Linked DNA regions of Oryctolagus cuniculus. The protein of the gene in region 2 interacts with the protein of the main gene of each other region in a biochemical or structural test. Links are inferred from orthologs where the notes say so. Each region holds a gene or a part of one and is shown on either strand. Other genes may lie near its edges.

Region 1 (4,009 bases), on a different chromosome or scaffold from region 2:
AAGCCCTCAACTCCTGATTCATAACCCCACGTCCAAGAAGCTCTGACGCCCAAAGTGTGTTCAGTGCGTCTGTCCCACGTTCACTCGGCACAGAGTGTGCTCAGCGCGTCTGTCCCACGTTCACTCGGCACAGAGTGTGTTCAGTGCGTCTGTCCCACGTTCACTCGGCACAGAGTGTGCTCAGCGCGTCTGTCCCACGTTCACTCGGCACAGAGTGTGTTCAGTGCGTCTGTCCCACGTTCACTCGGCACAGAGTGTGTTCAGTGCGTCTGTCCCACGTTCACTCGGCACAGAGTGTGTTCAGTGCGTCTGTCCCACGTTCACTCGGCACAGAGTGTGTTCAGTGCGTCTGTCCCACGTTCACTCGGCACAGAGTGTGTTCAGTGCGTCTGTCCCACGTTCACTCGGCACAGAGACTGAAGCACTGAGGAGCGCCGGCACCTCACTGTGCAGATGTGCGCACCTCTGGCTCGGGTAATCTCGTCTGTGCTGATGGGGTGCTGCTTTCTGAACCAGGAAAAGCCGAATCCCAGGGTGCAGCTGGGCCCACGGGTTCTGCACAGGGAGGACAGGGAGCTGTGGCCCGAGTCTGCAGCTGGCGAAGTGCACTTCCTGCGAAGACGCACGTCTGCAGGGGCGCACAGGGCCCCAGACACAGGTGCAGGAGTCTGCTCCACCACCCTCCTCCTCAAACCTAAATGACACCAACCACGGAAAAAAGAGACAGCAACCTAAGAAGGTTCTGGAATATGTGACACCTGGGGCTCCAGGGAGGCCATGAGGAAAGGAAAAACACTAGACGCGCTGGAGACCGATGGCGACCCCGTGCGGGAGAAGGGCCGGGCACGGGCACACCCGGGACACAGAGGAGACCCCGTGCGGGAGAAGGGCCGGGCACAGGCACACCCGGGACACAGAGCAGACCCCATGCGGGAGAAGGGCCGGGCACAGGCACACCCGGGACACAGAGGGGACCCCGTGCGGGACAAGGGCCGGGCACAGGCACACCCGGGACACCGAGGGGACCCCGTGCGGGAGAAGGGCCGGGCACAGGCACACCCGGGAGACCGAGGGGACCCCGTGCGGGAGAAGGGCAGGGCACAGGCACACCCGGGAGACCGAGGGGACCCCGTGCGGGAGAAGGGCAGGGCACAGGCACACCCGGGAGACCGAGGGGACCCCGTGCGGGAGAAGGGCAGGGCACAGGCACACCCGGGAGACCGAGGGGACCCCGTGCGGGAGAAGGGCAGGGCACAGGCACACCCGGGAGACCGAGGGGACCCCGTGCGGGAGAAGGGCAGGGCACAGGCACACCCGGGAGACCGAGGGGACCCCGTGCGGGAGAAGGGCAGGGCACAGGCACACCCGGGAGACCGAGGGGATCCCGTGCGGGAGAAGGGCCGGGCACAGGCACACCCGGGACACTGAGGGGACCCCGTGCGGGAGAAGTGCCGGGCACAGGCACACCCAGGACACAGAGGGGGCCCGTGCGGGAGAAGGGCCGGGCACAGGCACACCCGGGAGACCGAGGGGACCCCGTGTGGGAGAAGGGCAGGGCACCGGCACACCAGGGCCCCAGCAAGAGGGACCGGAAGCTCTCTCCCCGCCTCCTGGCCGGCAAACCTTGTTCCCAGAACCCAAATTAAGGCCCCTACTATTAGTAAATTGCTACTTCAGGCAGGATGCTACATAAAAAGCTTTGTAGGCCAGGCGGTAACCTGCACGATGCTGTTATGGGAAAACGCGCTCCACGTCCCCCGCACCCAGCTCCAAACGCTGCGGGGCAGAGGCCTCCGGTCTCGGCCGGCGTGAGAACGGCTCCTGTGGGCAAGGCCAGCAGCGTGGGGGGGCGGGGGGGACACGTCCAGGCCAGGCCCTCCGGGAGGCCCTGCACCGACCAACGCCTCAGATGCCTCAATGCACACTCCCGGGGCAGGAACCTGTGTCCTTCCAGGACGGCCTGGAAGTCACTCAGACGGAGACCCGAGCTGCAGACACGCTCCCCAAGCCCCCGGGGACTCGGACCGCGACCCATCGCCGAGCCCCCACCGCGGCAGAGCCGGGTCCAGGAGAATCTGTTCTCTCTCGTTCCGGGCAGTGCGGGGCCCTGGGGGCCTCCCGCCCGCGCTGCACCTGCACGGGGGGCTCGGCCCAAGGCAGCCGCGACCCCAGCCTGCAGAGCCCGCACAGCCCAGACCCGGGTCTGTCTATCGCTCTCCTCCTGGGGAGCTGGGGGGCGCCTCGCCCTCCGGAGGCCTCTCGCAGCGCCCAGGGAATGCCAGGCCGGGCAGGGGTCGCGGGCCGCCCACCTCCCTCTCCCGCACGAGGCCGGGGTCCCCTAAGGCCAGCCCGCCGGCCGAGGCCCCAGTGCAAACACAGCTCAGAGGCCCTGATGCCCGCGGCGAGTCTCTGTCTTGCTCAACCCGCCTTCCTATAAACGAGAGGTTTGCACACCCGGGGCAGTTTCTCTCCATAAACCCCAGAGCCCGGCCCCGGGCCTGGGGGCGGAGGGCAGCGACCGGCCCCGGCCCCAGCGGCGCTCATAAACCGGGCAGCCGCCGGGCTCCGGCTAACTCCTCCGCCGGGGCAGGCGCGCCGAAGGCCCCCGCACCCGCCGCCCCCGAGCCCCGCCGCCCGGCCGGCGCCCCCGAGCCCCGCGCCCCCGAGCCCCTCCCGGCTGCGCCCCACACCACGGCCCTACCTGGCGGCGGCTGCCGCTCGCCCTCAGCCATCTTCCGCGGAGCCGGCGCGGCGCCCGCAGTCCCCTCTCGGCGTTCACCCCGCACCCGCTCTTCAGGTCCCCGGCTCTGCCACGGGCTCCGAGTTTTCCGGAGAGCAACGAGCGCCGGTCTGCTATCACCGAAAACCGAGAATTAAAGTCACCCCCGCCGAGACGACCGCCATGCTGGTGCCGGGCGCTCAGCGAGCATGCCCAGCAACGGCCGGCTCGCGACGGCCGCGGCGACGACGGGCGGCCGCCATGTCAGTGCGGGGCGCCTGCGGAGCATGCGCACTGAGGGGCCGCCATGTCAGTGCGGGGCGCCCGGGAGCATGCGCACTGCGCCCCAACTGCCGGGCCGCTGCTCGACCGCTAATGGCCCGCCCGGCAGCCGTACTTTCGCGGGTGTCAAGTTTTTGTGGAGGGGTTAAGGGGGGTGCAGCAGCCATGTTTCTGGGAGCCGGTCCCGGCTGTCATCTTAATCTAAAGAATGTCAGAGGACATTCCCGTCACCCTGTGTCTTCCTGCCGCCTATGAGGGCGCACAGCTTCAATGGCATTTGGAGGCGGGGGGAAGAGCTGAACCCTGACCTCGCCTTACCCCTCTGCCTCAGCCCCAGCGCTCCACGGTGTCGCACAACCGCTAGCTGCGCGCCGCTCGCCTCCCCGCCCGCCGTGGCCCCGCCCCGCAGTGGCCCCACCCTAGCCCGCTGTTGGCCCCGCCCCTCCTGCCGTGGCCCCGCCCCGGGCTCGCTATTGGCCCCTCCCCGCAGTGGCCCTGCCCCGAGCCCGCTGTTGGCCCCGCCCTGGGCTCGCTATTGGCCCCTCCCCAAGGTGGCCCCGCCCCGGGCCCGCTGTTGGCCCCGCCCCCGCCTGCCGTGGCCCCGCCCCGGGCTCGCGGCTAGCCGCCCGGGGCTCCGTGACCAAGGCCCCGCCCCGGTGTCCTCCCCGGGCCGTCCGCCCGCCGCCCGACCGGCCCGGTGGGTGGGCGCGGGGCCGCCTCTACCGGCTGGTGGCGGTGACTCGGCGACCTTGGCCCTGAAGCTCTAGCGGGGACCCACCGGCCGCAGCAGCCAAGCGGACTTTGCCCGGTTTGGTGGGCGGAGCGGCCTGCGCGTCCGCGGGCAGACAGCAAAGATGTTAGCCTTTGCCGCCAGGACCATGGTGAGTGCGGACGGAGTCCGGGCGGGAGGGCCCCGGCCGGGCCGGCTGCGCCACTGCGCCGGTCGGGGCGCGGGCCTGGGAGCGGCGCGGCCGGGGGCTCTGGCTGGGGCGGGGCCTGCAGGGGGAT
Region 2 (3,523 bases):
CACGTCCTGGCAGATCAGGCTGGGGGGCCCTGGGTCCGAGGCCTGGCCTCCTTGGAGCCCCAGCTCCCTGCCCAGGCTTTCCTGGGCCTTGATGATCTCAGGCCCCTTCTGCAGAGATCCGGGGGACACAGGCTTCGGAAAGGCCAGGCCCTCCTTGGCCAGGTCCCCATGTGTTGGTCCCCACTCTTGGCGGAGCTCCTGAGGGCCTCCTGGTGGAGGAGGTTCTGGGAAGACGGGATGCTGCTCAGGAAGGGGTGTGACCAACTCAGCCGAGGCTTCTGGCTGCTTCTGGCCCACAGGCTGCCCAGGTGCTGCCCTCTGCCAGCTGGCAACTCTCAGCGCCTCTGGATTTGAAGAGGCAGCAGTGGTCCAAGGTTAGCGAGGGCATGTGCAGTGTTTAAGAGAGGGGACCCGACTGCGACGTGGGAAAGGGCGTTTTAAACAGCGCAGCCTAACAAAGCAGGAGCCCCTCCCTGGGCTTATCCAGGGGTCTTGTGTGCTTGAAAGGCCAGCACCAATGAGGGGTCCACCTGCCACCAACTTCCTGTGTGACTGCGTGAGCACTGCCCCTCTGCGGGGCCTCAGTTCCTCACCTCGGCCCTGGGGACCTCCCAGGCCCCTTCCGGCATGGGCATCACTCCTGTGCTGGGCACAGGGACGTCACCATCTCTGGAGCTGCCCTGTGCCCCGTGCCCTGGCACCAGAGGAGCTGCTCCCCAGCCCAGAGCACCTGCGTCCCCCGAGGCGCCTGCATGGACCTGGCGGGTCCCTTCTCCACCCTCTCTCTCTCACTGCTGCCCACCATGCCCGGAGCCTGCTCTGGGAGACTGGATGCTCCAAGCTGCGTGAGGATCAAAGATGGCCATTAATGGACTGGCCACGGTTGGATTCCTTCCAACAGGAGCACACTCGCGAGGCTGGCACGGCCCGGCGTGGGGCAGATCCCGGGCCAGGTCTGACCGGCCAAACCATCGCGGCACGCCCACCTAGCCGGCTCCAGCTTTCTCACGCAAACAAGCGCCACCTGTGTGTTAGGGACAGGCGACCTGTGCGGTTCAGTTTCCCTACTGAGCCACCTGCATTTCTCCTGCCTCCAGCTCTCAGAATCTCACCTGCTACCAAGAGACTACCCGTCCTCCTGCCCAGCTCGCCTCTAGGCCAGACCTGGACCCCAGAGGATTCAGGCACTTGCAGGGAGGGGCTCAGACATGAGGGAGAGGTGGGAGAACACTCGGGCGCAGCCGTGGACACACGGGCGACATGGGGACCCCGCGGGAGTCGGTTGGGCCACAGGCACCGCGGGGAGGCCGCCTCAGCTCGGCTTCACCTCTGCCCTTGCCCCAGGCCCAGCTCCCGGGCTGACCTGAGTCCTCCTGGCTGTGGGCTGGCACAAGCCCAGCTGTCACAGGGGCCGGGGGAGTGGACCAGCAATTAGAAGGTCTCTGTCCGTCTGTGTTTTGTCTCTGTCTCTCTGCCTTTCCAATAAATAAAGATCTGTGGGAAAAACGCTTCCCCTTCTTTAAGACCCGGGCACAGGCGACCACTTCTAGAGGTTATATTTACGAGGTCTCCACTTTCACCGAAGCTCAAAACCCGACCTCAAGGAAGCGGGAGTCGGGATTCTAGAATCTCACACAGACGGGGACCCCTGAGGGACTCACACCCTAAGAACGTTTTTAAAGCACTCTGCCTTCACATGTCAGCCGAGAGAACCATGAGCCCACAGAGGGCAGTGACCCCTCTGGGAGCAGGGGTGGAGACTGAGCCTCAACATACCCCCTGGGACCCCTCTGTGGGTGCAGCGCCTCCTACAGCCAGATAGCCCAGGAGCGGCCTCCACGCCGGGCACGCCGGCACATCCCTAGCACTCTCCGGAGTAAGCAGCGTCTTCCCAGCTCCGCTGCCACCGGAAGCTTCCACACTGTCCGCGAGATGGCCAAGGTCATCTGCCCGGCAGGTGACAGGGAACAGACCCAGCCCAAGGGCCATCTCTTTCTGACCTCTCCATGTCCTAAACCCGGGAGGCTCTCAGACTTCCAAAGGTCTGGAAATGCCTGTGACAAATGGTTACAGAAAACCCGCTTTTCTGGAACACAGAAGAGACCCGGATGATGGTCTGGAGGCCGCACAGGACCAGGCCTGGGCAGTGACCACGCGGAGGAGGTGCTGCTCGGGGACAGACCTGTGGGCACTCACACTCGCCTCACCGCGGCCACTCCTTCTCAGCTCCCTGCCCGGGCAGGGCCAGCTTCCCGCAGGACACTGAACACCTTGGAACGAGCAGACTCCTCCCTACCCCCCAGTGCTCCCTCTGCCCTGCTCCCAGCCCCCGGCTGCGCCGGCACCTGTGGCGCACTGACCTTGACTGTGGCACACTGACCTTGAGTCACATGTCCCGCAGCTTGGTCTTCCAGGTTGGGGGTGTCTCCCACGCCGGCTTCTTCAGCTGGTGCCCGCGTCGGCAAGTGAGGAGACGAAAGCAGAGAGAGTTACTGACTGCACTCAGCAGGCCCCGGGCCTCCGGCACACTTCTAAAGCGCGCGGGGAGGGCGCGCCCTACGAGCCTGGGTTCCTCTGCAGACGTTACCACAGGGGACGGCGGGGACAAGGGTTCACCGGACACGAGCCATGACACCCGCGCACCTGACGGGTGACTGCGCCTTCCCTGCAGTCCGGGCCTCACTGCACCAGGACGCACAGGATGCACGCAGTTAGAGGAACGCTTTGCTGCCCGGCCCGCAGAGTGCCGGGAAGGTGGCGGGTCCAGGGAGAGAGAGGCCGTGGCTGCAGCAGGTGGTGGTGGTGGGGGGGCAGCCAGCTGGGCCCCCACACCTGCCACGACCCCACCTCTGCTAAAACACAGGCGCCAGGCCACCACCTCGGCGGAGAGCACGCATGACGCACAAGCAAGGGTCTTTGAGTCACGAGACAGCTACACAGTGACCGCACGGACGCCCAGCCTGGCGGCTGTCCCGGGGCTGCCATGGTGCGGGTGGGCTCATGGGCAAGACCTGCCTGGGGGTCCCTGCAGCCAACACCGTGCTGCCTACAAGGTGACAGCGACAGCCTGGGCATCTGAGAATAGCACCAAGAAGAAGCTGGGCCAAGTGCCCAAGAGCACAGTGCCTGGCGGGTGTGGACCAAGTTTCCAACAAGGTTACAGGAACAGGAGAGAGGTGCGGGGTGACAGCAAGGCCAGCTAAATGGTGGCATTCCTGTGTCCCTGCCAAGAGGTGGGGAGAGCTAACCCACCTTCATGGAAGAGCCACAGCCTGGCCTGCAATTGAAAGCTGCTGCCCCGGTGAGGGGCGCTCGGAGACAGGAAGGGAGGCGGAAGGTCGGCTCCGGCTGGGCAGCGCACGGCTGAGGGCCACTCCCCGCTGTCCAGCGAGGCAGGCCTGCCGCACGGGCAGCCGCACTGACCCAACGGGGGCACCACCGACGGGACGGGATCTGCCGCCACTGTGGCTGAGAGCTGACCCCAGTACGCAGGCTCCCACCCCACCCCACTGAGGACGCGGGG

What was found.
Region 1: of the proteins of MAPT (region 2) and PTPA, one has a biochemical effect on the other in vitro, tested with the Homo sapiens proteins (2 studies listed by BioGRID). The link is inferred for Oryctolagus cuniculus from reciprocal best matches to the Homo sapiens genes MAPT and PTPA.

The regions. Positions count from the first base shown.
Region 1 is NC_091432.1:232,229,437-232,233,445, reverse strand, and holds the start of PTPA (serine/threonine-protein phosphatase 2A activator), read right to left. Parts: upstream 2,819-4,009; 5' UTR 2,733-2,818; coding exon 2,702-2,732; intron 1-2,701. Other genes in the region: CRAT (carnitine O-acetyltransferase), read left to right, coding at 3,856-3,882. UniProt on the Homo sapiens protein: PPIases accelerate the folding of proteins. It catalyzes the cis-trans isomerization of proline imidic peptide bonds in oligopeptides. Acts as a regulatory subunit for serine/threonine-protein phosphatase 2A (PP2A).
Region 2 is NC_091448.1:17,253,876-17,257,398, forward strand, and holds part of MAPT (microtubule-associated protein tau), read right to left. Parts: intron 2,447-3,523; coding exon 2,381-2,446; intron 345-2,380; coding exon 1-344. UniProt on the Homo sapiens protein: Promotes microtubule assembly and stability, and might be involved in the establishment and maintenance of neuronal polarity.